Arabidopsis thaliana: one gene and its partners. The protein of the gene in region 1 interacts with the protein of each later gene in a pairwise test. Each region holds a gene or a part of one and is shown in the gene's direction. Other genes may lie near its edges. The genes, in order: GLR1.3, GDU2 and CPK1.

Region 1 (10,612 bases):
TATAATCCTTGGTACTTGTTGATTAGTTCTTGTCGGCAAAGGATAATACTCTCCAAAAGCTATGGGATTGAAAGGTGTTTGTTTTCTTTTGCTTAAAATTGACCTTTGACAAATTCTGTCCAATAGAATCTTCATTTTTCATATTGTTCTTCTTACTTTCGTAACTAAAATAATAACTTTGAGAGAAAGATAAGTAGCCAACCTTTAGTACTCCACAACGAAATTTCTCTTAAATTGTAATCGGTTGACTAATGTCATCCTCCTAAAAATTTCGTTAACTTTGAATTTCTCTTTTTCTTCTTACGATTTTCTTAAATATATGTGAATAGAATAGAGAAAATGTAAAACACGGCATGTGTAGGCTATAACTGTTTATATAAAATAATAATAATGATGTGTAAAGCAACAAACGTGAGGTCTCTCCTTCCTCTTTAGTTGGAAAGAATTTTAATGGTGAGAATTTGTATTCAAACCCCAATTTTGCTATCGTTTCTTCTTGTTCTGCTTTTCTTCATCTCCAACTGTTTTGCTTCGAGTCAAAACAACGATGATGATAAACGGATTCGGGTCCGGGTCGGGTTGGTTTTGGATTTGGGTTCCGTGGAAGGGAAGATAGTGCGGAGTTCTGTTTCCATGGCTCTTTCTGATTTCTACGACAATCACAATGACTACAAAACAAGACTCTCTCTTTTAGTCAGAGATTCTCATGGAGAGCCTCTTCTTGCTCTTGATTCAGGTAACATACTCCATTACTCTTGCACCTCTCTATATAAATCACCTTTTTCTCTTTATCCATTTTTGTTTTGTGATTATTCATACACTCACAATCTTTGTGAATGAAACAGTTGTAGATTTGCTGCAAACAGAAGGAGTGCAAGCAATAATTGGCGGGAACTCGTTGCTAGAAGCGAAGCTTTTGGCGGAACTTGGAGAGAAAGCTAGGGTTCCTGTGATTTCACTTAACTCTCCCATGTCATTGTCATTGAGCAAATACACTCACTTGATCCAAGCCACACATAACTCTGCCTCTGAGGTTAAAGGAATTACAGCTTTCCTCCATGGGTTTGATTGGAACAGTGTTGCTCTTGTTTTAGAAGATCACGATGACTGGAGAGAGAGTATGCATTTTATGGTGGACCATTTCCATGAGAACAACGTTCATGTACAGTCCAAGGTTGCTTTTAGTGTCACTTCGAGTGAGGATTCTTTGATGGATCGATTACGGGAGCTTAAGGACTTGGGAACAACTGTCTTTGTTGTTCACTTGTCTGAAGTTATTGCAACTCGTCTCTTCCCATGTGCTGAGAAATTAGGGATGATGGGTGAAGGGTTTGCTTGGATTCTTACTTCCAGAAGCATGAGCAGTTTTCATGATCAGTTCATTGACGATTTAACAAAGGAGGCAATGGAAGGTGTGGTTGGTTTCAAGTCTTATATACCAATGTCAAAAGAGCTTCACAACTTCACTTTGAGATGGAGAAAAACACTCCCTGTTGAAGAAGTTACTGGGAGTGAGATTACTCGGTTGAGTATCTCTGGCGTATGGGCTCATGATGTCGCTTGGAGTCTGGCGAGTGCAGCTGAAGTGACAAGGATGCCAACTGTGACATCAACTCTCCTTGAGGCCATAAAAGAAAGCAGGTTTAAGGGTCTGAGTGGTAACTTTCAGTTGGATGATATGAAGTTGTTATCAGACAAGTTTGAGATTGTGAATATGATAGGATCAGGTGAGAGAAGGGTAGGATTCTGGAATTCTAATGGTAGTTTCAGCAATAGAAGACAATTATCTTCTACTCATGACAATCTGGAGACCATAATTTGGCCCGGTGGGTCTGCTCAAAGTCCGAAAGGGAGAAGTCTAAGAGAGAGCGGTAGAAAAAAGCTTAGGGTTCTTGTTACATCTAGCAATAGATTCCCAAGACTGATGAAAGTGGAGACTGATCCAATAACACATGAGATAACAATTGTCGAAGGGTTCTGTATAGAAGTCTTTCAGGCATCCATTGCACCTTTCAACTATGAAGTGGAGTACATACGTTGGCTCAATGGAACTAACTACACCAAGCTTGCATATGCACTTCATAGCCAGGTACTAAGCATGGCTCGATTTTACAATTGCAAGTACTTTTAAAATTTGCGTAGACTGTGTGTGGGAACTGACTTAATTCCATTGATAATTTTTGTTGCATCCCTTAGAAAGACAAATATGATGCTGCTGTGGGAGATATTACAATTACTTCCGATAGATCGATGTATGTTGATTTTACGTTGCCATACACTGAAATGGGTCTTGGAATTGTAGCAGCAAAGGAGAGAAGTATGTGGGTGTTCTTCCAACCTCTAACACCAAACCTTTGGATAACAAGTGCAGCTTTCTTTGTCTTGACGGGTATTATAGTTTGGTTGATAGAAAGAGCTGAGAACAAAGAGTTCCAAGGATCTTGGCCTCAACAGATTGGAGTTGTGATTTGGTTTGGCTTCTCTACCCTTGTTTATGCTCATCGTAAGTACCTTTTCACATTCTTATATACCAATTTGGCCATAAGAGAAGAGATTGTAGTGATGCTTACCTTTTGTTGCTTACTCTGTGTGACAGGGGAGAAGCTACAACACAACTTATCAAGATTTGTAGTTACAGTTTGGGTATTTGCGGTGCTCATATTGGTTACAAGTTACACTGCAACATTGACATCAATGATGACGGTGCAACAAATACGATTCAACGCCAATGAAGATTATGTGGGTCACCTCTCGGGATCCCTCATCGCAAATGCGGCCCTCACCAATTCCAGCCTCAGAGCAATGAGATTATTGGGTCTCAATACTTCAGAAGATTATGCTCAAGCTTTGATGAATAAAAGTGTCTCATATATTGTTAGTGAGTTGCCATACCTGAAAATCCTCCTTGGCGAGAATCCTGGACATTTTCTCATGGTCAAGACACAATCTACCACCAATGGTTTTGGCTTCGTATGTATCCTTCTTCTGCATCATCAGTTGCTTTACTCTTGATTTTACTTGTTGAAAAAGAAATGTTTGGTTTGTTATACTATGTTCCAGATGTTCCAGAAGGGGTCCGAGTTGGCGCCTAATGTGTCCCGGGAGATTGCGAAGCTGAGGACAAGCGAGAGGCTAAACGAGATGGAGAGAAGATGGTTTGATAAACAGCTTCCATACACAACCGATGATACATCAAATCCTATAACCCTATATAGATTCCGTGGTTTGTTTATGATCACCGGAGTTTCATTCGCTTTCGCTCTTGCAGTACTTCTCATTCTTTGGCTCCGAGAAAGATGGGAAATCCTTGTGAATTCGGTCAATATATACTTCTCACAACGACTTAGACATTTCAGGATCCTCTTCACAAGAACTATCCATCCTAGTCCCCTCGGCCTCGATAACCCCATTGGCGAGAATGCGGTTCAAATGGCTCAACGTAACAGACGATAGGAAATGAGTAACATAGAGAGAAAACAATTGTTGTGATGTGGTACGTCTCTGACTCTGACCTTGGAGCAGCAAAGAAGATCCTCCAGTGATCCACTAGCTCCTGATCCAAGCCGGCTTACGTCTGAAAGTATAAATGATTGTTATACCAATTTTGTAAATTATAGTGTGATCATATTCGCAACCACTTTTGTAAATAGCAAAAAGGTATTGGTAATATATTGAGTTAAAATTTAACACATTTAGTTTGAGTATTTTTTGGAGAATATGATACTTTTGCAAAGAAAAAAATACTTTAATTCTTCATTTTATAAACCTTAAAAAATGTACCAAACTTTAATCAGTATGTAAAAGACTCGTGCATTTCGTTTGTTGGTATTTGTGTTTAATTTCTTCCATCAATTTATTTGAGATGAGACGACTTTCACCATTTTTCTCTGCTTCTAGATTTATATCTTTGACTGTCTAAATTGTCAAATCCCTTACACTAAGTACTTTTGTTGATTTGTTCTTGTCAACACAAGTTAATACAACCCCAACAAATATGGAGTTTTTAACCAAAAAAAAAACAAATATGGAGTTCTACGTGTAAAAATTTCAGATTAAAACACATTTGTTCCTACGACCGTTGACAAATGTTTTTTTTTTTTTAAGACAAATGATTTTTTTCTTTTGCTAAAATTGGTTAGTTGACAAAATTTTATCCTATAGAATCCTTTTCGAATTTATTCCGTATTTTTACCTTTTTACTTTCTTCACCAAACATTTTGATAGATTTAGTCAGATTCTCTTAAATAATGAAATGATTTGAGAGACAAAAGAGTAGCCAAACTCGATAGCCCATACCGAATTTTACGTTGACTAATGTAATTTTTCTTAAAATCATGATGTCATCATCTTAAACTTTGAATTTTTCTTCAAATATAGTACGTATGTTAATTTTTAAAATTGGAATAATTAGACAGATGAAAAACAAAACACGGCATGGGTTTATATAACAACAAAATAAAATAATGACTAAAAGCAGCAAACGTGGGGTTTCTCCTTTCTCTCTAGTTGGAAAGTTTTTTTAATGGAGAGATTTTGTATTCAAACCCAAACTTTGCTATCGTTTCTTCTTGTTTTGCTTCTCTTCATCTCCAGGTCTTTTGCTTCTACTAAAAACGACGACGTTGATGGAGGTAAACGGGTTCAGATCCGGGTCGGGTTGGTTTTGGATTTGGGTTCCTTGAAAGGGAAGATAGTGAAAAACTCTGTTTCCATGGCTCTTTCCTATTTCTACGCTATTCATAATGATTACAAAACAAGAGTCTCTGTTTCACTCAGAAACTCTCATGGAGAGCCTCTTCTTGCTCTTGCTTCTGGTAAAAACACTTCTTCTCTACAAAAACTCTCTTCTTCTCTGTCTCCATTCACACTCACAATCTTGGTTTTCTATCTCTTGTGAATGAAACAGCTGTAGATCTTCTGAAAACTGAAGGAGTAGAAGCGATTATTGGCGGGAACTCGTTGTTAGAAGCGAAGCTTTTAGGGGAACTTGGAGAGAAAGCTAGGGTTCCTATGATTTCACTTGACTCTCCGTTTTCATTGTCATTAAGCAAATACACTCACTTGATCCAAGCCACACATGATTCTACCTCTGAGGCAAAGGGGATTACATCTTTTATTAATGTGTTTGATTGGAACAGTGTTGCTCTTGTTTATGAAGATCATGATGACTGGAGAGAGAGTATGCAACTTTTGGTGGAGCATTTTCATGAGAACGGTGTTCGTGTACAGTCCAAGGTTGGTTTTACTGTCTCTTCTAGTGAGGATTTTGTGATGGGTCGGTTACAGCAGCTGAAGGACTTGGGGACTACTGTCTTTGTTGTTCACTTGTCTGAAGTTATTGCAACTCATTTATTCCCATGTGCTCGGAGATTAGGGTTGATGGGTGATGGGTTTGTTTGGATCCTGACTGCTAAAACTATGAACAGCTTCCATGAGAACATTGATGATTTCACAAAGCAGGCAATGGAAGGTGTGGTTGGTTTCAAGTCTTACATTCCAATGTCTATAGAGCTTCAAAATTTCACTTTGAGATGGAGAAAATCATTGCCTGTTGAAGAAGCGGAGCTAACTCGGTTGAGTATCTCTGGCATATGGGCTCACGATATCGCTTTTGCTCTGGCGAGAGCAGCAGAAGTTATAAGGATGCCAAATGTGACATCAACTCTCCTTGAGGAAATCACAAAGACTAGGTTTAACGGTTTGAGTGGTGATTTCCAACTAAATGATAAGAAGTTGTTATCAAACAAGTTTGAGATTATCAATATGATAGGATCAAGTGAGAGAAGAGTAGGATTCTTGAACTCTAACGGTAGTTTTAGTAATAGAAGACATTTATCTTCTACTCATAACAAGCTTGAGACCATAATCTGGCCAGGTGGGTCTGCTCAAAGTCCGAAAGGGACTAGTCTAATAGATAGCGATAGAAAAAAGCTGAGGGTCTTGGTTACATCTAGCAATAGATTCCCAAGACTGATGAAAGTGGAGACTGATCCAGTAACAAATGAATTAATTGTTGAAGGGTTCTGTATAGAAGTCTTTCGCGCTTCGATTAGTCCTTTCAACTATGAAGTTGAGTATATACCTTGGCTCAATGGAAGTAACTACGACAATCTTGCATATGCACTTCATAGCCAGGTACTAACCATGTCTTACTTAAGTGTTTTATATTATAACAAGTATTTTTTTTTTTTTAATTGTTTTGTGTTGCATCCCACAGAAAGACAAATATGATGCGGCCGTGGGAGATATTACAATCACTTCGAATAGATCGACGTATGTTGACTTTACGTTGCCATTCACTGAAATGGGTCTTGGAATTGTAGCAGTAAAAGAGAGAAGTATGTGGGTGTTCTTCCAACCTTTAACACCAGATCTTTGGATAACAAGTGCATTTTTTTTTGTCTTGACCGGAGTTATAGTTTGGTTGATAGAAAGAGCTGAGAACAAAGAGTTCCAAGGATCTTGGCCACAACAGATTGGAGTTGTGCTTTGGTTTGGCTTCTCTACCCTTGTCTATGCTCATAGTAAGTACTCACCTTTTCACATTTATATATGCCAATCTTGTTCAGAAAAGATTGTAGTGATCATGCTTACCTTTTGCTGCTTATACTATGTGTGACAGGGGAAAAGCTAAAACACAACTTATCAAGATTTGTTGTTACAGTTTGGGTATTTGCAGTGCTCATACTGACTGCAAGTTACACTGCAACATTGACATCAATGATGACGGTACAACAGATACGATTTAACTCCAACGAAGACTACGTGGGTCACCTTTCCGGCTCCCTCATTGCAAATGTGGCTCTCACTAGTTCCAGCCTCCGAGCAATGAGATCATTGGGTCTTAATAGTGCTGCAGATTATGCTCAAGCCTTGTTGAACAAGACTGTTTCATTTGTTGTTGATGAGTTGCCATACCTCAAAGTTGTCCTTGGCGAGAATCCAACACATTTTTTCATGGTCAAGACACAATCTACCACCAACGGTTTCGGCTTTGTATGTATCCTTCTTCTTCATCGTCATAAGCTTCTTTACTCTTTCTTTACTTTTGACTTGCTGACATAAGAACATGTTTGGTTTGTTATTGTTATACTATGTTTTAGATGTTTCAAAAGGGCTTCGAGTTGGTGCCTAATGTGTCCCGAGAAATCTCAAAGCTAAGGACGAGCGAGAAGCTAAATGAGATGGAGAAAAGATGGTTTGATAATCAACTTCCATACACAACCGATGATACATCAAATCCTATTACTCTTTACAGATTCCGCGGTTTGTTTATAATCATCGGTGTTTCATTCGCTTTCGCTCTTGCGGTACTTGTCATTCTCTGTCTCCGCGACAAATGGGAAATTCTTGTGGACAATCTAGACCTCTCACAACGACTTAGACATTTCAGGATCCACTTTGTAAGATCTATACATACTAGTCCCCTTGATGACCCCATTGGCGAAACTGCGGTTCAAATGGCTCAACAAAATAGACAATAGGAACTGATTAGGGTTAGATCAAAAGGTCCACAAACAATCTTTACTTGTAAATGACTTACATATCAAAGTATAAATGCTGTTTAGACCAAATCCTTGCTTGTAAATTGTATGATCAAATTCAAAACCACCTTTATATAGTTGGTTCATATATGATTAGTGTCTTTCAAATGGTATGGTTCTCAAAAAAAAAAAAAAAAACAATTAAGGTGGAACCAACCGAATCAATTTTTTTTTTTTTGTCACAAGAGTGTCCATTTTGTTATATCAACATAAGCCAAAGTTTGAGACAAACAACAGAGCCAAATTCAACTAAACATAAGTGTAAGACTTTTCAAGCCCAACTATGAAGCCCAAGTAGGAAACCGCATCAGGAAGAAAGAAGAATCATTGAAACAGAACCTAAAACACGTGTCATGAAAAGGTTAGGTGCTGAAGACACGTGAGAAGAAGAAGATCGGAGAATCACTGGTCGCCGCCGAAGAAGATTGTCGACTCCATTGAAACCCAGAACGCCGCGATATGCATGTTGAATCCGGTGATAGCAATTGTCAATTCCAAAGCTCTAAAAACAAATCTTCAACTTCATGGAAATTCAACTTCAAAATCTTCCCAATTAAACGTCAACGGTTCACGAACTCAAGCATCATATTCATCAATCTTATGTTGGAGAGAATTGTGTTTAGGCAAAGACGAATCACCTAAAACCACAACACTAACATAGATCGCATAATTTATTCAACAGAAAAAACAAAAAGCGGCAACAGATAGCCGAAACAAAGCCGGACCTCGCCGGAGACAAAGCTGAACCATACCAGAGACAAAACTAGTAAACAAACCGGATGGAGAAACAAAGATCGTGTTCCTCTCTCTGAATAATTGAAGAGAGAGAAGAGAGAGAAATTGATCTTTTCCCCTTCCAACCGAATCAATCTAATATCCGGTTTATTGACATTAGTTCCAAAATCAAAATCAAACCTAGTAAGAAATCCGAAATGCCGGTCAGTTGTGGGCTTTCAGTTTGGGCTGGGCTAATAAAATTAATGAGCCCATAAGCTTTTTCAAAGAGAAGAAAGGAGAAGAGAGAAACCCTAATCTCTATTCTCTCCCAATCTTATATATAATCTCTCTTCTTTCTCTTCTTCTACAACGCCTTTCTCTCATGTCTCTAAATTAGCTACTCTTTCAAAATTTTGCAGCTTAAACGAATCGTAAAGTACTCCTTTGTTGTTTTTTTGGGTCTGTAGTTTTTTTTTTTTTAAAGCAAGTCTCAGCTTCTTTGATTGGGTCAAGATATTCACGATCCAATCAATTTTATGAAAATCATAACTTGCGAAATAGAAATCGGCAGTATCACTCGCCTGGATCTGATTATAATCATGATTATCCAGGCCCTTAATCTACTGGCACAATCTTTTGAAATTAGATTTTGTTGTTGTTGTTTTGGGCAAACGCACTCTGTCCCAAGACCATTAATTCCATGTTTTGGTGCAATTTCTTCGTTTGCTAAATTGATCTGTACTCCAATTTTAATCATGTCCTCGGGATTATTCTCTGTGATCCCTATATGGGCACATGATTGGTTTACTATACTTTGATTCTTTCGATACCAAATAGTTTTACATAAATCGTTTTTTAGGAGTTAGTTTGTTATTTGAATTGATATGTTTATATCTTTGCAGAAGAATAAATCTTATCTGGTGTACGATTTATGTGATACAGTCACCAAGGACGGTAATTGTTTTCGGATTTAGGTTTAATGAACGGCTTAGGATTAAACTTGAAACATCTAATGAATCTTTGAATAGATTATGTGAGAACATGCCTTGAAGAACATTTGATTTTGACCTTTCGAACGAATAACTTATATATCCAAAAAAATTACTCAATTCGTATATCCCGTAATTTCCCAATCTGAAGATTATAACCAAAATCAAGAGGCACGTATCTAAGACTAAATGTGTCATAACTCACTGAAATTGTTGTTGAAGAAGAACAGAAGATACTGATGATGATGGATAAAAAAACAAAAAGAAGATACTAATGATGGAAGTCCTTCAGTTGATGAACATAATACTGAATTATTGATGATGAAAGTCCTTCAATTAGACGTTTGGCTTTCTATCATTTAGGCCCATATATTCCGGGTATGAAGCCGGATCCTATAGCCCGTTGGTATTTGAACGGGTCAAGTACGGATCAGATACTATGACATATTGCCACGGGTTTGGCGCTTTTTAGAAAGATAAGAGATGCATTAGTCGGGACTCGGGCGGTATCTTCGGCGCTATAATTTTAATTGGGCTTTTAATGGGCCTGAATCTTTTGGGCATATTATCCATTTATGTTTGGAAGGTGCATCAACCTTTTTTGAAAGTATACATGCAGTATAGTATTCATCGCATTCTTGTTTTTTTATTTTTTTTCCCTGTTGTCTATTTGAAGTCGTTAATTTTTTTCAGTTTAACTGGTTTTTATTATGAACTACATTGAGAATTTAGAAGAAAGAGTGCTTCATGTATTAAACCAATTGATGATATATTCTAGGGAAAAAACCTCACTAACCAAAAACTTAATTAAATAAACAAACCCACTTGAAACCAATTAATATTACATATATTAAAACATTCGTCAATGTTTTTCGGTATATTGAAGAAAGGGATTAAAATCTTCAAGATTCGCATGGACTAAGGAGTGTAAATTAATGAAACGTAAATGCTGCTTCATTGATTAACTTCTGCAAAGATGTCACAAATTCATATGACACCTAAAGATTATCGTTCATACTATACAAAAGTAAATATCGATTTACAAAGATTGCAGAAACTAAACCATACAAGAACAACTGAAATCATGTACAATCTTCAATATTCTTCATGGTTGTACGTAACTACTCTTATCAAACTAACTCTTCTTCATTGATTCTTCTCTAAATATCGATTTACAAGATTCCAGAAACTAAACAATCCATGAACAACTAAATCAAATCCTCAAAAGACATCCAAATTTCAACACAGAAACTATCCAAAGTAACGCAAATCTGAAATGAGCCAAGAAACAACTTTTTACAACGATCTTTAAGTCAAATCAGCACCTGAATTTGATATCGAGTCCATGCTTGCCATGAACAC
Region 2 (10,000 bases), on another chromosome or scaffold:
CCCTTTTAAGCAAAACAAGAAAACACAAAACACGATATAGTACGAAGAACCCTAACAACATATAAACATTAAACCACCTCTGTCTCTCATGAAGCCCATTCTTGTCTAACACGTCACCTCCAGTAACTAAGCAGCTATTCACAGAAGCTTCCTCAAACCAGACCAGGCACTTGTTGTGCAGACACGAGTACTCATTTATCAGAAGTGCGTCCAACGCATACTTGTACATTGAGAAGAAGTACATGAAGAGCCAGTACTTGGGAAGACTCTCTTTAGAGATGAAGTAACCAGAGAACAAGAAGAAAGCCGCAAGAAGAATGGTCACTGAAGATGTTCCAGCAATGTAGTTAGGTGCGAGAGAGCTCAAGAAAAGTACAAAAGAGTTAGCCATTAGGACAATGATCCAGATTACGAGCACAAAGTAGGCGAGAGCTTGCCATGAAAAGCAGAGTCCTACAAGGAAATAGAGTGAGACAGAGTAGATGATTGCGATGAGTAGCAAGTATGGCAAGAAAACCAAAGTGTTTGCAAGAATGTGAGAGGAGAGTCTGTAGAGTCCGCTTGAGGTTTCTCGGAGAAGAATAGGTCGTTCATCAATGAATATTGGAAGGGTTTGGGTAGTGGAGGAGAGGAGGAATGTGAGGGTGAATGCGAAAAGGCCAAATCGTTTCCTGATTCCTTCTTTGCCAGTTCCGATATTAAGGTAGATAGTGCCTAAGACAAGACCGACTACAAGAGATTCTAAGATGTTTGTTAGAAGCAACTGCCTTGTACGGTATATGATCTTCCAAAACCTGCTAGAGAGAAGGCTTATTTCGGTGATTCTCGAGCTTTTATATCGAACAATGCTCTGTTTTTGGTTCTGTTTTTTACTTTCAGGGCAGTGGTCTGGAAGAGCAATGTTGGCGTTTTCGTAGGGATCACGGATGTTCTGAAGTATCTCCATAGCGTACTCAAGAGAATTCAGCTGAGAAGGAACCGTGAATCCCTTGGAGAGCAAGAATGCTTCAAGTAAGTCAAGCCTTCCATGATATACAATGGTTCCTTTAGAAAGGAGTAACACGCGATCGATGAGAGACAGGATCTTGAAGCTAGGTTGGTGTATGGACAAGATCACGATCCTTTCTCTGGACGTCGCAATAGATTTGAGAATTTGAACGACATCGAAAGCGGATTTACTGTCTAAACCCGAGGTGGGTTCGTCGAGGAGTAGTACTTCCGGATCATGAAGAAGACTTAGACCAATTGAAACCCTCCTGCGTTCACCACCGGACAAGCCTTGACCTAGTCTTGTATGTGCAAGATGTGTTAGGTTTAGTTCTTTGAGGAGAGAAGCAACGACACTGGAGACTTTTGATAGGTTTTTTGGGAGCAAGAGAGAGGCGGAGAAAGTGAAGGTCTCGGAGACGGTGAGGAGAGGGAAGAAGGTGTCGTGTTGAGGAACGTAGGAGGAGATTTTACGGTAAGAAGAAGGGTTAATAAGGACGGAGTTTAGAAGTATTGAGCCTGAGGTCGGGGAGGTTCTTGCGGCAAGGATATCAAGGAGAGTTGATTTTCCGGCGCCGCTAGGGCCAATAATGGCGAGGATTTGGGAAGGATGAGAGGTGAGAGTGATGTTGCGGAGGATGAAGGAAGGTTGCTCCGCCGTGAGGAGGAGCGGTGAAAGAGGTTTGGCGTAGGAGATGGAAGAGGTGGATAAAGTGTACGACTCCATTTTGAGAGAAATGTTTAAAGGTTGGAGAAGGGAAGTGAGTGTTGTAAAGAGAATTTATTGATGCTTGAGTTTGGAATGTTTTGTATTTTCCAATGAAATTGACAATTTTTCAGTCTTTTTTTCTTTCTTATTTGTTTTTTGACCTTTTGGTTAATTATTTTGTCTTTTCTGTCATTTTGAATTTTGCGTTACATAGAACTCATCGAATATAATTGTGGTCAAACGGTGATGTAACCAGGATGCGACAGTAAGACAAGAGAGAGTCAGATATTGAAGAGATCATTAGAGATTCAAGTCCAAATTAAGATGGAGTTATTAGTGAGAAGGTGGATCCAGAAGAAACGAAAATTCTTAGATATATTCTCATAAAGAAAGCTTGCTAACAGTTACGTATACACACATTTATTGAAAACATGTAAAGATGGATCAAATGAATATGCATGTGTGTCATAGTGAATATATATTGTTGAGAAACTGAGAAGAAGAAAGCCAAAGGGGAATGCAGATAAAGGTCACGGGCCTGCTGACAATTATTACACAGAAAATTGCAAATCACGTACAAGTCTATTTCCCAATCTCTGCATCTTCCTTTGTTTGTTTGGCACACAATTTGCCAAACCATTTTTACAATTACATATTAATGACGTGACCAGTCCTGGATTTGAAGGAGTTTCTATAAAAACAATCTGGCTTAAACGTTAGTTAGTTATAGTTACTTGTGGTTGCTTTTACTTTAGGTATATCACCGTACATGCAAATGAATAAACTTTAGGAGTTAATAGGTGAAATAATTGTAAATGGTACAATTTCTTTATCTATGAAAGAAAATATTCTAAACAGAATTTGAATCATATTATAGTAACTTGTTATACATATCACATATGTGATATGTTTATATAGTTTGTTATACTAATAAAGCATTCTCTTCACTTTCTTTGGCCATCAATATATCCGTATCTCATGTTGTGTTTTTCCTAAATTTCTACACATAATAAAAAGTAGCATGTTGTTTCAAAGCCCCTTAACGGGTACAAAAACAAGAACAGAGTGCAGGGCTAAACAGAAGAAAATTGACATTAGGAAATCAGAAATAAGCCCATTTGAATGTGGATCAATATTGAAAAAAATGTGTGAAAAGCAACTTGCAATGTCACAAGATAAATATACCATGCCGTATATATCATAACTGCAAGAACAGACCCAAAACTGAAAAGTGAAAAGAATGTGTGTGGGTAAGTTAAAGAGTAATGAAGGCCGACAGGCGACAGTGGAGGAGGATGGACCAGACCAGGGTGCTGGGCGATGAGGACGTCTCGGCTAAAAGCTGAACCACCCTCCACTCTTAGGTCCCACAAAGGCTGGTCCTCGTTCACAAATGTACTCTCTCAAAGAAACACCCCTTTCTGCTTTATTACTATTCCCTCTCGTTCCTCCACTTTTTTGTAGCAGCTTCCACATGAATCATGTCATAACTGTTACAACATATTCCAAAAAAAAAACTATAGAATATATGTAGGAAATGTTAATCACTCTGTTTTTTTTGTATCTTTACTCTTTGTTTCTTCTCACTAGATACCGTCCTATACTTCTATTAGTGCATAACACTTCCTTAGACACTTGCTTTTACACTTTCCAAAATTATTTTAAACATGTATGTATATGATCATGTCGCCATGGTTGACGATATATACAATTATTGTACTTTCATCTCCTTTTCTCATCTTTTCTTTCAATAAACCTTATTTTTATTACCATATCTTCTCTTTTTCTTGCTAGCAAATGTTGATTATTTTATTGTAATTAAACTGTTGTTTATGACTTAATGTTCAAACTTCAAATAACATGTGTGAACTGTGAGGCATGCAATAATGATATTTGTTGCATATCTATCAGTTTTTAAAAGTGTCATCATAGCTCTATAAAGCTGTCTATTTAAATTAGATATACCTATCTCAAGTTCACTAATCCGTATCTAAAGAGAAAGAAAAATATCTTGATAACTAAAAATGAGTTTTAGAATGTACGGAGATAAGTTCTGAAAAAAACTGAACGAGCCACCTTTAAAAGTAATTAGATGAAGAAATAAACACAATTTGAAAAACTACATGAAAGCTAATCTCTGACTTGAGAAGTTGAGATATTTGGAACCTTTGTTAATTCTTTCAACACCGAAAACGATTTCTTAGGAAATTTCAAAAGAAATAAAAGTAAAGAGGGCAAGTATTCTGATTGTTAACCAAGCACAAAATGAAGCACCCATCAATCAATCTTTTCAACAATCAACATACCGATTCTAATTGGTCTGGCAGAATAATTACCGGAAAGGAAGAAGAATAGAACTCCAATATTTAATTATCGTACTTAATCTGTTTGTTCGAGAAACTAAATAATGGGTTCCTAGGTATATGTATTTATTTTATACATTATCTTCACATGTAACGTGCCTATTTAACGAGAATATGATTCCCTATGATTCATGCACAAACACAAATCAAATCCGGAATTTAAGTCGGATCAGGGAATAAATTATACAGCCCACACACATAATAATTTAAAACTAATATATACACAGTGAGGGGATTTAAAAGTAAAACTTATCTCCAAAGATTAATGTAAGCGACTAGTGATTGTGTTGGCATATTAACCGCACATAACATTGTTTGGGGGTTTGGATGCTTTAAAAAAGGTTCTGCCTTAGAAATTCCTTTTAGTTGACGTAATGATATATTATTGCTTACTGTAATACTAGTGGACACATTAAACAATGATCTTAAAGTACGAATGAAGAAATTAAAGAAAATGGAAGAGGAAGAATGTGGAAATGGAGAACGTAAGTGAAAGTGATTGGAAACTAATGGAATATCCGTTTTTCCTTTAGTCATGGTGGAAGCTGACGCTGAGAACCTACCCCTCCAATTGCACTACTCGCTCTATTACTTTATCTAACCAGAAGTTTTTTAAATACCCTTTACTGTATATAGTTCTTACAGTTTTATACATATTGTTAAGAACTCCATATATAGTGTATAAATGGCATTGAAAATAGTTTTGAGTTGAAACTCCTAAATGATATTAAATCTTGAGTTTAACCTAATTAAGCAAAGTAATAAAAACTGATTAGCCAAAACAAAGAGGTTAGTTAGTTCAACAGTTAGGTTAATGTGCAAATTGCCGTAACAAGATTATTAAATAATTCTTAACTTTAATTAACCTCTATCCATTATTGCATTTAAAAGATACTATTAATTAAAAGCCACCAATAAAAATTTAAACTTTATTAAAGTACTAAAGACGGATATATTAAACAAAACAATTATGAAAAAAATAAGAAAACCAACTTAATACAAGTTCAAATTAACATCCAAAAGAAGGAAATATACATGATTTTACAAATGTCTTCATTGAGCCACCACGTTAAACTAATATCATTTTTGAGGTTGATTAAAAAATTATTCATGTAAGTATAAATGCAAAAAAAAACTACATCTCTATATCAAAAACCAATCAATTGTTTACTCCATTATGGAAGATGATTCCCTAAAAAATAATTTCGTTAATACTCACTCTACAAAGTACAAATAATGAATACTGACTTTTTTCATACATTCCAAAAAAATACTGAAAACTGAACCATACACAAATCCATTGCATTAAGAAACAATCCATCCCATACGTTCCTCTATAAAACGCCTCTCACAACACAATCTCATCTCCCACCAATAAATTAATTACTTTTTTAACAAAGAAAACTTTCATTTCATTCACTCTTCCCAAACAGTAAAACACACATGCAGACAATGGAAGGACGACAATATAATTACCAAGACAGCATAAACGCGAGCTCCTCCATGGTGGTGCCTCACTCGCCTTGGCACTCTCCGGTTCCTTATCTCTTCGGTGGTTTGGCCGCCATGTTGGCTCTCATCTGCGTCGCTCTTCTCATCCTCGCATGTTCCTACTGGAGACTCTCCGGCTCCGCTGAGAGAGATCTTGAGGCCGGAGATGATGCCAAACCCGACAATGACACCAACAAAACTAAGCACACAGAAATGCCGGAGAAGTTTCTCGTCATAATGGCCGGTGATGTCAGACCTACTTACTTGGCTACGCCAGCGACTCGGTCTGAGCAAAGCTGTACTTGCGGCGATCATAACGAAGAAGAAGGAAGAAGAGGGTAGTGATCAGGTGGTATAGCAGAGCACCGGAGGTTACGGTGAGCCCTCCCTCATATTTTGAAAACAGAGCATTCGTTACGGAGTACTCCGGAATCGATCCGTCCGGTCTTTTTGTGTCGGTTCATAATTACGCCAACCTTACGTGAGCTGATGGGATATAAATTAGAGTTTTATTTATTTCGTATGGTTTTAGTTTTTTTTTGGTTGTCTCAGTTTTCTTCAAATTTTTCCCGTTTATGGTTCATGAAGGAATATCCGGTACATGTAAATTTTAAGAGTTTGAATAGATGATTGTTTTGGACTAGCGATTAAAGATAGAACTGAAGCTTGACAGACAAAATAAATAAAAGATACAACTAAAATCGTGCGTCCTTAATTCAGTTTTCGTGTATAGAGAGACAAAAATGTTTTCCCAGTGAGAGATGTACAGACATGATGCTTACGAAAGAGGGAAAGAGATGTGTTGTGAAAACTTCTAGTGATGTGCCAACAATGACGCATGCCGAATATTAAGCTAATTCGTTGTGGCGAACCGAAGTTGAGAATTATTCTCTTTGTACCTTTATTCCTAAATTTCTAGATATATTACTAAATATCATCAAGTTTTATCAAAGAACAAATAGCCTCTCAACTATACATTTCTCTCTTTTTTTCTTTTCCAGGCATATCCATTTATCATTGTTTACCATTCACTGAAATTGAAAGCATTATCGTTTATCGTTGGACAATAAATTGTCGTCTTTTGGATGATCAGTACAATGTGAACAGTGACACATATAATGGATGGAGACTACTGCAACTAACTGAATAATTGTTTTTCTAGTATGGGCAATTGGTCACTGGTTGTGTCATGTGTTTACGTCCTTTCGTTTTCTTGTCCAATTCCTACTATGTTTATTATGTGAACGTGTCAAAACAAACGAGCTCGCAAATGATGCCAATAAAACTGGAAAACCAACAATAATTGTGGAAAAATCGACATTCAACTGGCGCCAAGTCTTATGATCAAAACAAAAACTTATAGAATCGATAGTGACAAGAGAAGTATGAACCTTTTTTTTTTACAAAGAACGGGTAGATCTGTACAGATTCATTGTTCGACAGAACTATAAAACATTTTAAATAACCATCAAGGAAAAAGTGCCAAGAACTTTACCACGATTTGTATCGCATCAAGCATCATACTAAATACGATATAAATAACCAACAAAAAAGAGAAGAAGTTTGTGATGCTTATCGCCTTCTTACAGTGCTGACTAATTGCAGCGGTTGAAAATGTTTAGGGCTAGAGACCGAAATGATCCATCATGTGGAAGACAACATCTTTGCCATCAGAATGTAACCAATATGTTTTCACCTACACATTACAGGGAAAATTATGTCAAATGCTCTTAACAAAATCGCTTTTGAGTTTTGAGTTCTTATCATTAAACTTGCCTGGATGGTACTATGCGCGACGTATCGTTGCTTGCTATTGTGAAAGCTGACATCTACTCTTTCCCAAGATAGTTGACTGAGTCCATGTATCATTTCCTCTACATTTCACAAAAACCATAACAGGACGAAGTTAGTGATTCTACTTGTTATAAAGAAGACCAATGGGTAATAGATAGCGAGGCAAGGATCTACCACATTCCATAAATCTGATAGAGATATCATTTTTTCTAGCAAATTTTGAAAAACAAATAGTCAAGTGAGAAATAAAGCAAAACCTTCAAGATCAGTATCTTGCTCTGTTACTACTGTAGAAGTTGACTGGCAACTACCATTGTCCACATTTCCACGTTCTACGTATACAATGTGTGGATAGTTTGGATCCGTTGCTAGAAGATTTGGCTGGAAGATGAGCAGGGATAATAGTTATTGATAAATCCCACAACGTCATTAAAGATGTGCACAAAATATAATAAGTAAAGACATACCTTTGGGAGTTCATTTGGACGGCGAATTGAAGATGTCCTCCATCCAACCATAGCTTTCTCATTAGTTAAGGCAAACTCTTGTAAATGATAGAAATAATCAAAAACCATTGACAGTCTCTTTAAAAACATGTTTTTTTCAGGGAAGGATACAATCAAAATTCACGTTTGCATATGCCACACGACGCTTGAAAGCATTTAAAGCTGATCTGTTGAGGTCATAAGAAGAGATGATGAGCATATCAATCTGCAAGTCACCAATGAAAACACCCAGAAGCTAGAGCATTTACATGAATTTCAAGTCATCAGAATCTGTAGCCATCCGGATAAGAAGTGGAGCATTTCCATCATCGTTGTCCACCAGAAACAAATGCTTTCCGGTCCTCCCAGCAGCCAAATGTGCAGTTTGGGATGCTGTTCTTTCAAGAAACGGAAGGCCACAAAGAATCGGGAACTGAGGGAATGAAGACAAGAGTAAGCATGTCATACAGATTACAGAAAGAGATTATCTATATATATATATGCAAACCTTACATAAACATTTGACCTAGGCATGCAGTCTAAAACATCAATTCACCTGTCTATGTCCTCTTGAACCAAGATGAGGCGTTGCGAAAGTTATAAAGTTCATAGGTTCTAACCCAGCAATTTCGCCTCCTCTTGCGCTCTTCTCCTTCGAAGGAGAGTCCAGAGAGTCGACTTCCCCTGGCTGTTCATAGAGCTTCCCTATGGCATATCTTGCAACAAGACCTCCTAATGAATGAGCCACAAAAGATATCTTCTTCAGCCCACTTCTATGCTTAACAACACCCAAAACCTTCACAAATTTTCAAACATAGAAATCAAATTTTAAGTTGCAAGTTACAGAGGAAACAACAATGCATCCAAATACTACCTCATTAGCTAGCCTTTCACCCATTTTATCAACACCATCAAATGTCAACGTTGCACTATTACTCTCGCTACCTGCTTCATCCAATTTCATCATCAAAATCAAACAAATCATAAAATTACAGAGTAATCAAAACCACAATATCTATAGGTCAAGAAACACGCACGGTGCACTAGTACTTTATCCGGGAACTTCTTCACGAACTGCTCCGCCGCATATTTCCAATCCGCCGCACTAAATCATCATCCAACACAGAATTAGCACAGTCTTTAACCCAAACTATAGTAATCTGTAATTCTAATTGAAGCTCTTTGATTTAGTCTACCTGCCAACGATTCCGTTAACCATGACCACCAAATGATCAGGCTTCTCCGCAGACTCCATAACATCCGCATCGAAAAAGTCTTCTCCGCCGTTGTCGATCTCCGTCGTCAGCTCTCTTTTGCTTCGATTCGCCGCAAAGCAACCGATTCCAAGACGATTCATCCACTCCATTTGACAGAGATTCTTAGGTTGAGCTGGAAATTGAAGGTATAATCTGAAACGGAACTGGTTTTGACTAGGCGGAAGAAATCGCGGTGAAGACGGAATCAAATCGGGGATTGAGATTTGGAATCTGGAGAAGGACGCGATCATGTGGAAGTAAAAGGAACACAATAAGAAGGAAGTTATCTTCCTGACTAGCAAACTGATGATGACAAGTCGCTTAACTTTTCCGGCGAAGAAGTGTTACAATTTGCGGGTTTTGCGGAGGCGCTAAGCAACAGTAGCGGTAACATAGAAACACTTGGTCAAAATAAGTTTTTAAAAAAAATATTAATAGTGGATTGATAATAAATTAAAAACTATAAGAGGTTAATGGTGTTGTTATTAACAAACAAAAAAACTTTAATTTTGGAAGACTTGCAAAAATCTACACTAAAATGTAGAGATTTATCAACTACTATTAGTATAGGATAAATAGTAAATAAAAATTATTTCATTGCAAGTACATCTAATCTCAATATAAAATGTAAAGATTTATTTCATTAAAATGTCTGGATTTGTTTTCTTTTCTTTCTTAAAAGTAAAGCACATTTAAATCAATTATTTCAAGTTACTCATTTGATTATTCATATTGCACATGTGACATGTATGACAAAAAAAAAAATCTCTTTCACATTAAAACGTGTAAGTACTAATTAAGTACCAATAGAATCTCTTTCACATTCTTTTGATTTCCAATTTCGATTTGGCTTAATCGATTGCTAAATTCATTCGTTTTTTTCGTCCTTCTTCTTTCTTAATTTCATCCCTAACT
Region 3 (10,612 bases), about 18 Mb from region 1:
GAACCAAATTAACAAAAGCCTTACCTGCCACCAACGAATGGAACTCCGTGCTTATAGTTGGAAGGAGGCTCTCCTTGTAAACCAAGTATGACATCCGTCATGTCTTCCACGACTTTGTGATCCTCGCTGTAGCTCTCATAACATCTACCCCATCTGGGATCTCTACAAACCTACAAAAAGCGAGTGGGTAACAACTTTAACAAATGTCCAAAGTACCAATGATATGAAGAGTGCCAGGTATATAAAAGTTAGGCAGACGGTGAGAAAATTTACTGCAATGCAAGGAGCAAATGTGTATGGGATTCCAGTGGCTCTGACTTCGACTGCAGTTGCTGCTCCAATCCTCTTAACAAGATCAGGATCCCTGTGAAACTCAAATCTATCATCAGAAGAAATATAGACAGCATTCACAGAAACAGAGATGGGAAACATGCAAGATCGAATAAACGTTTTAGCTAATACTTGCCTAGTGGCTCCAAGACCAACATTGTGAGGGAAAATAGTAGCGTTATAGACATTGTTATGCCCGTGAACGGCATCAATGCCATATATCATAGGAATTCCCAAACGACTAACTAGAGCCCCCTTTTGGTACTCATTTATCATATCAACCCAATTCTGAGCACTTGCCTCAGGAAGTGGAGCGCTCCCACCACCACTCAATACACTGCCTGTACAGAACAAACAGACAACTTCAATTTTCAAGTTTCACAAATACAGATACTCAATACCAAGTCAAGTTACGCAGCTTATCTAGTTCTTTATTAACAAGATGATGAGAAACTGAAGTTCAATGAAAGCAAAAACTGAATGATATCCTCATTTCACCTAACAACACCAGTAGCACCGACCAGTTTTCTAAGGAAACCATACAAGATGCCCAAAATAAGGTTTAAATGAACCAATTAAACTAGCCAAGCAAGTAAGTAATCAGATTTCTGGAAATCTCCAAGAAAGATTGTTCTTTTACATACCGATGAAGTAATCTCTCATAATGTTGACAGTGGCAACACTTCTATCAATCTGCACCATCTGGCCAATCTTCTCTTCCAAAGTCATTCTACCAAACAAATCCGCAACTCGATCTGACACCGTCTGTTTCGGGTCCTTGTACAACAGATACTCTCCATCCCCATAACAACAAACCCACATACACATCCATAGAAGAACCCCAACGATTCTTACTGAATCTCTGCTCATCTTCGTAACAGGGGAAACTCTGGCAAAACAACAAAGACGGAAGAAACTCAAGATAAGAAAGACTTGTCACTTGTCAGCTTAAAAAAGAAACCCCCAAAATTGTGAAACCTTGGTGCTTATCAGCAGCCAACCAAGAAAACAAAAAAGCAACTTCGTTATTCATCAGTGACAAGAAAGAAGAAAAAAAGCAAAAATAAAAGCAAGCTTTTTAAGATTTACTGTTCGAATTTCAACAAAAGATTGAATAAGCACACGAATCCGTAAGAAGTACTTTCTCATTTTCTTATTTTCCAAACGAATCATTATAAAGCTACTAGCCTCATACAAGAAACCAAGAACCAAGCTAGCCAAGAAAACAAGAAATAAGAAGAAGCATACATTGGGGGTAAGGAAAAAGGCAAGATTCAACAGTAGAGAATGGAGGAAGAAAGAAGAACTTACATGTGAGAGTTAGGCAGAGCAAGACCAGAAAATATCTGATTCTTCTTCGCTGAGAATTTTTATATGAGAAAATAAAGAGTAGTTAATAAACGCTTTTAAGCAGATTTGAGAAAGAGAGAGAGAGTGTTAAAAGACGTTGATGCGGTTTTGTGTTGTTTTTATTGGGACGTGGGGTTGGCTCACGTTTTTCCACAAAACATCTGTACCAGTCTACACTGCATAATGATGCATAACGACGAACAAAGCGGCGTCGTTTTAGTTTTTTAAAAAAGTTTCTTTCTTTTTTGACTTCTTACTTTTTTTTATTACTGAAAAGTATCGTACTTGCTTTAACGTACCTTGGACACGTGTCAGTAGGCGGGAGAATCGGATTCCTCGACTCTTATCTCACGCTAAACCGGCGATTCTCCGCCTCCCGCCGCCGCTTCGTCTATCTCTATGGCCTCCGTTGCGAACACTGAACTGCTCAATACGCTTCTACTGTATCTTCCTCATAAGCCTTCGCGAGGTTTCTGAGTCGCTGCTCTGTGTATCCACCGCCGTAAAAAGCTCTCCTTTTTCCTCTCCGATTCTTCTTCTGTCGACTTTGTCTCCATCCTCGGATCATGATGACGGGAATAGGAGCCGTTTGATTGAGGTTAGGGATTTAAGTGCTTGTGATTGTTGAATTGTGGAAGAAAGGAGAGATTTTTCATGTTAATGAAACACTAGTACATATAGACGTTGTGAAGTTTGTTAGCCGTGATTCTATTGGATATTATTTCTGTACTAAGAGAGCATTAGCTAAAATTTCTGACAAGCTTAACTAATTCCAATTGTGTGAATCATTTGCATCATTGCTGATATTTCCTAACTAATATTATGAAAGGTTGAGGCTCGTAAGTTTTTTGCTTATGAACACATTTTTTCAAGGTAAGTTTCTCAATCTTCATGTTGTTGAAACATATGATTCCTAGAGTATCTCTACTCGTACCCCTCTCATAAATCATTGTGTTTAAAGCCGAGCATCTGCATGATATGTAAGGATCTCTTGCGGTTCTCTTCTTGAGTCTCCAAACTCCAGTTGAGATCCCTGGTGTTAGCAATATGGATTTTCTCGAGAATATAGTATTTGATGCTAGGAACAGAAAACCTGGTCAGCCAAAGATTGAGCCAATGTAGGTGTCTTCGCGCATTAGTCAGTTAGATGGTTTTGGACTGTTACTTAGTTGATGGTGCACACTCATATATCTGATATAGAATTGTGTTCATGCAGTTGGAGGATTTAGAGGTGGCGAAAAGAAGCATAAAGAGATTCTTCCATTTCCAAGCGCAACACATGATAAGAAAGGTGAGGGTTTTCTTACCTTATTTTCCGGTCAATGGAAGACACACACTTGAATACCGTCATTTCCCTTTCCCACACTTGTTCTCTATTAGTGTCATAAACAGAATGCCGAATAGGTTACTTTTCATTTTATAGTCATGACTAGGAAATTTTGTTCCTCATAGCAAGATATGGAAACAGTTGTCAATTTAATTTCGTCATAGTGAAAAGGATCAATCAAGGAACAAGTACGGAAAAGATTGAGAATCTCTGTAATAAGGATCATCTGTTTTTGGAGGTCCTTGGATGTTTACTTGATCAGGACGTGGCAGAGGCAATGAACAGACTTTTGTCACCAAAAAACGCTGTTGTGATGATTGATAATCTACTATCAGAACATACTGCACTACATCAAACCAAGTCTCATACACATCATAGTGAGCGTCTTTGCCACAAATCATATCTTCTTAAATACTGATTCAAACCACCATCTCTTGATAACAATAGTGAGCTTCGTTTTTGTTTTAGGCAAGCATTCTTTCCATATCAAATCAATAACAGAGTGTCCAGAGATTCATACCGTTCTATTGCAGTAGGGACATCTCATTGGCTTATCTACTGGAAAAAGGAAGGGTGCTTGAGTGTTCCGTTAGGACCAGCAAAAACAATGGAAAGTGGTGATCATGATGTTTAGAACACCAAACTCGCCGTCTCTACAATATTAGTTCTGGTCTAGGTTTTGATCTTCAATAATAGCTGTGGTCGGAAGGAGTAATTAGGGTAAAACATAAGGGCGAAGACAAGAATGTGTAGAGCATGTGATTTGTTCAAGCTTTAACATGTGGATGTCTTATTTTTAATGACTGCTCTTTAATATGTGGGTTTTGTTTGCGCATTTTTCACTTGCGGGTTATATTTTTCAAAAGTAGTAAATGATGGGACCATTATAAAAAGGATGTTATTAGGACTCCAGAAAGGAAATTGATTTTATGGAAAATCACCTTTTTACCTCAAAGTTTTAATATATTACTAATTAAGTACCCTTACATAAGAAGCTGCGTTGCCAAGATTGAAGAGGGTGGTGGACTTTGTAATCAAAGATTAATTAAAAAGAGAGTTAAGACAAATCTCAGCGGAAAACTCGGCGGTGATAGATAATCAAAACAAAAGAAACGCGTTTTTCAAACTGGTTCAATCTTCTTCTTCGTCTTTCTTCATCGTCTTCTTCTCTATACAGACCTTGACTCTCTCATTAAATTAACAAATGTCCCTACGGTTTATGCAAGTGTAGTGCTATTAAACTATCCCTTTTATTTTCCCACCCAACTCAATTTATTTTCTCATTCTTTCTCTTTACTCTTCTTCAGATCTCTCTGTTTCTTTCTTTGTTGTTGTTATCTGGGGATGCTTTCTACTCTCTGTTTGGTTTCCTTCATTGTGACTTTCTATTTTCTGGGTTTGTTTCAAGTCATGATTTTTCCGATACCCTTTTGATTTTTCTTGCTATTTCTCACCTCTGTATAAGCAAGCTCTCTGCTGTTTCTCCTCATCCAAGTTGGGTTTATCAGTTCAGCTGTGTAGAAATTCAATCGTCTGAGAAGTCCGAGGTTTGATGTCTGATGGTTTTAAGATCGAAAGGATTTGACTTTTATCAGATTAGTAATGAGATTAGATTGTTTTTGAGGTTATTGTAATCAGATCTTGATGCTATTTCTGGTGAAAGAGATTTAAGACAAGTTAGGGAATGGGTAATACTTGTGTTGGACCAAGCAGAAATGGCTTCTTGCAATCTGTTTCAGCTGCAATGTGGCGGCCAAGAGATGGAGATGATTCGGCTTCCATGAGTAATGGAGATATTGCAAGTGAAGCTGTTTCGGGAGAGCTTCGATCTCGATTATCTGATGAAGTCCAGAATAAACCTCCTGAACAGGTCACAATGCCGAAGCCAGGGACTGACGTCGAGACCAAGGACAGAGAGATTCGAACTGAAAGCAAGCCTGAAACGCTAGAGGAGATAAGCCTTGAGTCCAAACCAGAGACTAAGCAGGAGACCAAGTCAGAGACCAAGCCGGAGTCAAAACCTGATCCTCCAGCTAAACCTAAGAAGCCTAAACACATGAAGAGAGTGTCAAGTGCAGGGCTTAGGACTGAGTCAGTGTTGCAGAGGAAGACTGAAAACTTCAAGGAATTCTATTCCTTGGGAAGGAAACTCGGACAAGGGCAATTTGGGACGACTTTTTTATGTGTCGAGAAGACTACGGGGAAGGAGTTTGCCTGCAAGTCGATTGCTAAGAGGAAGCTATTGACTGATGAGGACGTTGAGGATGTGAGAAGAGAAATTCAGATAATGCATCACTTGGCTGGTCACCCTAATGTCATCTCCATCAAAGGAGCTTATGAGGATGTTGTGGCAGTGCACCTTGTAATGGAGTGTTGTGCAGGCGGCGAGCTTTTTGACAGGATCATTCAACGCGGTCACTACACAGAGAGGAAAGCGGCTGAGCTCACTAGAACCATTGTTGGGGTTGTAGAGGCTTGCCATTCTCTTGGTGTTATGCATCGAGACCTCAAGCCCGAGAATTTTCTGTTTGTCAGTAAACACGAAGATTCCCTCTTGAAGACGATTGATTTTGGACTCTCCATGTTCTTTAAACCAGGTTTGATTTCATTGTTACTCATCTTAAAAGATCCACTTCCAGATTTGGTCTTTAACGTGAATAGTGTGATCCTTGTCGAACAATTATTTCTGAACTCGATTCCCTTCCTCTTTGCAGACGATGTTTTTACAGATGTTGTTGGTAGCCCATATTATGTTGCCCCAGAAGTTCTTCGAAAGCGTTATGGCCCTGAAGCTGATGTCTGGAGTGCTGGAGTGATTGTGTACATTTTATTAAGCGGAGTTCCTCCATTCTGGGCTGGTAAGAATTGTATATATACAGATAAGAGATTTGTCACTTTTCCTAACTAGGCTCTGAACAACATCTCTAATCTTTTTGTTTCTTTGAACATTCAGAAACCGAACAAGGTATTTTCGAACAGGTCCTCCACGGTGATCTTGACTTTTCGTCCGATCCATGGCCAAGTATATCTGAAAGTGCAAAGGATTTAGTGAGGAAAATGCTTGTCAGGGATCCCAAGAAAAGGTTAACTGCCCACCAAGTATTATGTAAGTTATTTTGATCTGAAACCTTCTCTTCCAGTTAAAGCGCTGTGATTCTCTTTCTGTTAATTCCATTGAGCATAGATTTCACTACATGAATAAAGTGTGTTGTCATGTAGAGTGATCTACCATCGTTCTATCTCTTATGGAGTTGTGCTTCTTCTCAGGTCATCCATGGGTTCAAGTCGACGGTGTGGCTCCAGACAAGCCTTTGGATTCTGCTGTTCTGAGCCGTATGAAGCAGTTTTCTGCAATGAACAAGTTCAAGAAAATGGCTCTTAGAGTAAGCAGCTTTCCGATGCTAAACAAAATTTAAAACCATATAAAAGAAGTTCCTGTCATAAACATAAGATAGCTACATTTAACCCATCTTCCTCTTGTTATGTGGAAAGAAAGAGACGACGGAGATTAAGTTTCTCTCTTTATGCCTTTTTGCAGGTCATTGCTGAGAGCTTATCTGAAGAAGAAATCGCCGGCTTGAAAGAAATGTTTAATATGATAGATGCGGACAAGAGTGGTCAGATAACTTTCGAAGAACTGAAAGCAGGACTAAAACGAGTAGGGGCGAATCTCAAAGAGTCTGAAATTCTCGACTTGATGCAAGCTGTAAGTTTTAACCGGCATACCAGTTCCCTAACTAAGATTCTGAACTGATCTTGTTATCATTCAAACTTACTCTGTTGGTTGTGGTTATATACTTCTGTTTTTGCTAGATATGCAAGTAATCTGGTTTCTCTCTCATGTGTATATAATTCAGGCTGATGTGGACAACAGCGGAACAATAGATTACAAAGAGTTCATAGCTGCAACATTACATCTAAACAAAATAGAGAGAGAGGACCATTTGTTTGCAGCCTTTACATACTTTGACAAAGATGGGAGCGGCTATATCACCCCAGACGAGCTTCAACAAGCTTGTGAGGAGTTTGGTGTTGAGGATGTCCGCATAGAAGAACTGATGCGCGATGTTGATCAAGACAATGTAAGTTCCTTTACACCTTTTATCATCTCATCCTAATTATAAAATGACTTGAATACTTCTCAACAATGATCAAATTTCAATGGATTATATACATTTTACTCATAGGAATCTCACTTATATGATCCTCTTAAATCCTTGCATTATTAAAACTACACTTCACTTACCGAGTTTTCATGTCTGTTTTCTTGGGAAAACTGAGACGATTGAGTATGATTCTTGTTAAACCTAGGGGGATAGTAGAAACTCTCTTTCCTGAGAAACAGTGAAGTAAACCGAGTTTTCATGTCGGTTTTGGATTGATATATTGGTTGAATGTTGATAATGTTGAACATTTGAATTGTTGTATTGTAGGACGGGCGAATAGACTACAACGAGTTTGTGGCGATGATGCAGAAAGGAAGCATCACAGGAGGACCTGTGAAAATGGGTCTAGAGAAAAGCTTTAGCATTGCTCTTAAACTCTAGTTTCTCAGTCTATTTAAAAGTACAAAACTAAAGCCAAGAAGACAAAAGAGTTTTCTGATAATATATACCATTTTGATTATGTTGAAGACATATGCACACAGCCAAGATTCTCTCTTGCCCTCTTTTGGATTCTCTCAATCTTTTGGATGAGGTTTTGTCTTAGACTTGTTTTGGAAACTTTGTTGTATTGTGTTACTTCTTGAGCATATATAGTCTTCTAACATTACAAACCACGATTTCTTGTCTGTAAGTAAATTCAAAGAGTCAAAAAACTTGAACACGATTTGGAAATTTTGCGATAACGATCATCAAATTTTTGTGAGGGCTTTTTCTTGTAAAGCAAAAAGTTTGAGTATTTATGTGAAAATCGTTTAAAAGTTGAGGTACTTCTATGTAATTTCCCAGTTTTCTTTTTTTGAGAAATAAAATAACTTAACCGAATTTCAATTAATTTGTTGTCCGAATTATATAATTCAAGTCCTTACCGAATCTAAGCTGAAATCAAATTAAATTATAAGCAGATAATTAAATTGGTCACCGAAAATAATAGCCACCAAACCTCCTAATCCTAAACACGTAGTATTTTGAGATCTTTATTTTCCATTTACATAATTAATTTCTTTTTTATGATTGGAAAAAACGAATAAAATGATCTTTTAGCTAGTGTTTTTGGTCAACATAAATACCTAACTTACTCTTTAGAACAACAAAAAAAATGGAGGAAAAATATAAAAGTGGGTCTCACAATCAAGTTATTTCTCCAAAAATAAATAATTTAAAGCTTGCGTTTGTTGTTGACATTTAAAAATGTTTATTTTGGGGTACGACTTTTTAATTTATAAAATTATTAAATTGGTTTTATTTAAATAAACTGATTAAATTGTCTATTTCAAAACTGCGTCCCTATCCCTTTTAAATTTCCTAATTTCAGTCCACAAAACGTGATCATGATTACTGTATCATAAAGTTTTATTTGTGTAGGGGTCTAATTGTTAAATATGTTGGTCCTTGTTTAAAGTGTTAATTATATTTGAAAAATATAAGTAGTCTAGTTTACTTTTTCTAACTTTTATTGAAAAATGAATCATTGTACGTATTAAGTTAGTTTTTTTCGGGATTTTCAGTTCCTATGAAAAATGAACAACACATTACACATATATATAAACATGCAACTCAAAATATCGAACCCTAAAAACCTCATATTGTTTTAGAATGTACGTGTTTGTCACAACATCAAAAAAATACTCATCACATAAGATTTTTTTTTTTTTTACGCTGGATTAAAATGTGGTTTTATTTTCCATTACAAAAGAAGTAAAAAGCAAAAAGGATCATGGGAGCATGAGTTAGTGTAGGGACTGTATTAACTTTAAGGCAATGACATATGGTTAGGACTTAGCAGCTAAATCTTTATGAATTAGGACATACCTAACTTATCCTTCGTGTACATTAAAAATCTTATCTTTCACATGGATTGGACAAAATAATAGCTTAGCTATAAGCCTATAAGATTTAGTTAACACTACAAATTTTATTAATTTTCTGAGTAAGCAAAAAAAGAAAAGAACAGTTTCTTATGAGGGGTCGAAATAAATTTGTGAAAAACAATTGATGCATATTAAAAGTCATACTTGTGAAGTTTGTGATCAAGATTTAAAGAGCCTCTAGAGTCTATTATAGATATGAATCCTGCTACTGGCTGCAATTTAAAGAACTTTATGGAAACAAAATCATTAGAAAAATCTAGTCAGAACTTACAGATAAAATAGTTGACACAAGTTTTTTTAATCGTTATTAATTTTCCTTTACTAAGTCAAAAGTAATAATTTTGGTAGCTTTAATTAACACTGTAAGCAAATATGGCAGATAATATAAATTCCTAAACTTTAGCCATAAAAAATCCAACTTTACTCAATATAAATGGCCGTTTTTACTAGTTATAGCATTTATTGGGTTTATCTATAAATGCAATAAAAGATTGACTTATTCCTCACATTTCTCTATATTAAACCGGATAATCTTATAATTACCGGTGAACAAAATCTCTACAATAATATTTACAAGAAAAAAGAAAGAAAGTAACAGACTACTTGAAAATTGTAGTTACAAAAAAGAAAAGAAGGTAATCACACAACGTTAAATAATTTTCAGTTTTAGAATTAATTATATTTCTCTAAAATGATAATTATATAAAGCTTTTATACTAAAAACAGAGAAGAAAAAAATGTCAAACATAATTTTAAATTATATACATTATTTAATTATTGTAATCAACAATTTAATATTACCGTCCTTTTCTCTCTCTATCTCTATAAGGGTTGACTCTAAAGAAAACAAACGCAGAGATTCCTTCTCTCTACTCTTTTCTCTCTCTGTCTCTCACTTTCTTCAAATTTCAAATATTTTGCGTCTGAATCACACCGCGTCCACCAAATCCTCCATCTCCATCTCTTAAAATCCGATTCTTTCCTCCGCAAATCTCGATTACTCCAACACCCTTTTTCTCTAAGATTCCAAACCTTTTAGGTTTTTTGTTGCAGCCACTTGTGAATTGTATGGTGGTCAAAATGAAACAGATCATGCGTTGGCCACCGTGGCCTCCGCTCTTCGCCGTTAAATTCGACGTGATCGTCGTTGTTCACCAGATGGATGGTTTGTTGGATTCCGATGGTGGTGGCGATGATAGTACTGATCAGAGTCAGCGAGGAGGAGGGACAACAACGAGGAAGAGACCTGTTGTTGAGATCAAATGGAAAGGACCTAAATCGGTTACTCTCAAACGCTCCGTCGTACGGAATCTCACCGAAGAAGGTGGATTTCGCGGCGATGGCGTCGTTGAATGGAACGAAGAGTTTAAGAGGGTTTGCGAATTCTCTGTTTACAAGGAAGGATCGTTTCTTCCTTGGTTCGTTTCTTTAACCGTCTTCAGTGTTAGTCTCTCTCTCTATCTCCTATCTTCTTTTAATTTCGTTGACTTTGATGTCTGAATGATCAGGGTCTGTTTAAAGGTTGTACCTTTGCTTAGGTCCTCTGTTATTTAGATTTTGATTCACTCTAG

What was found.
Region 2: the proteins of GLR1.3 (region 1) and GDU2 interact in a protein complementation assay, tested with the Arabidopsis thaliana proteins (one large-scale study listed by BioGRID).
Region 3: the proteins of GLR1.3 (region 1) and CPK1 interact in a protein complementation assay, tested with the Arabidopsis thaliana proteins (one large-scale study listed by BioGRID).

The regions. Positions count from the first base shown.
Region 1 is NC_003076.8:19,615,794-19,626,405, forward strand, and holds GLR1.3 (glutamate receptor 1.3), read left to right. Parts: upstream 1-4,473; 5' UTR 4,474-4,522; coding exon 4,523-4,814; intron 4,815-4,906; coding exon 4,907-6,135; intron 6,136-6,217; coding exon 6,218-6,524; intron 6,525-6,622; coding exon 6,623-6,996; coding exon of another isoform or gene 6,997-7,065; exon of another isoform or gene 7,066-7,103; coding exon 7,104-7,484; 3' UTR 7,485-7,632; downstream 7,633-10,612. Other genes in the region: ATGLR1.2 (Glutamate receptor family protein), read left to right, coding at 451-736, 846-2,089, 2,197-2,503, 2,597-2,970, 3,061-3,453; AT5G48420 (uncharacterized protein), read right to left, coding at 10,569-10,612.
Region 2 is NC_003075.7:13,110,647-13,120,646, forward strand, and holds GDU2 (glutamine dumper 2), read left to right. Parts: upstream 1-5,381; 5' UTR 5,382-5,502; coding exon 5,503-5,892; 3' UTR 5,893-6,309; downstream 6,310-10,000. Other genes in the region: ABCG4 (ABC-2 type transporter family protein), read right to left, coding at 1-1,714; AT4G25770 (alpha/beta-Hydrolases superfamily protein), read right to left, coding at 7,243-7,424, 7,602-7,725, 7,812-7,864, 7,962-8,017, 8,099-8,262, 8,386-8,625, 8,704-8,774, 8,867-8,934 and 1 more. UniProt on the Arabidopsis thaliana protein: Probable subunit of an amino acid transporter involved in the regulation of the amino acid metabolism. Stimulates amino acid export by activating nonselective amino acid facilitators.
Region 3 is NC_003076.8:1,413,957-1,424,568, reverse strand, and holds CPK1 (calcium dependent protein kinase 1), read left to right. Parts: upstream 1-4,014; 5' UTR 4,015-4,691; coding exon 4,692-5,604; intron 5,605-5,721; coding exon 5,722-5,865; intron 5,866-5,960; coding exon 5,961-6,113; intron 6,114-6,274; coding exon 6,275-6,390; intron 6,391-6,545; coding exon 6,546-6,713; intron 6,714-6,864; coding exon 6,865-7,089; intron 7,090-7,440; coding exon 7,441-7,554; 3' UTR 7,555-8,005; downstream 8,006-10,612. Other genes in the region: AT5G04885 (Glycosyl hydrolase family protein), read right to left, coding at 25-170, 274-364, 467-671, 975-1,219, 1,472-1,503; AT5G04860 (splicing factor 3A subunit), read left to right, coding at 10,110-10,484. UniProt on the Arabidopsis thaliana protein: May play a role in signal transduction pathways that involve calcium as a second messenger. Phosphorylates the Ca(2+)-ATPase ACA2 resulting in the inhibition of its calcium activation.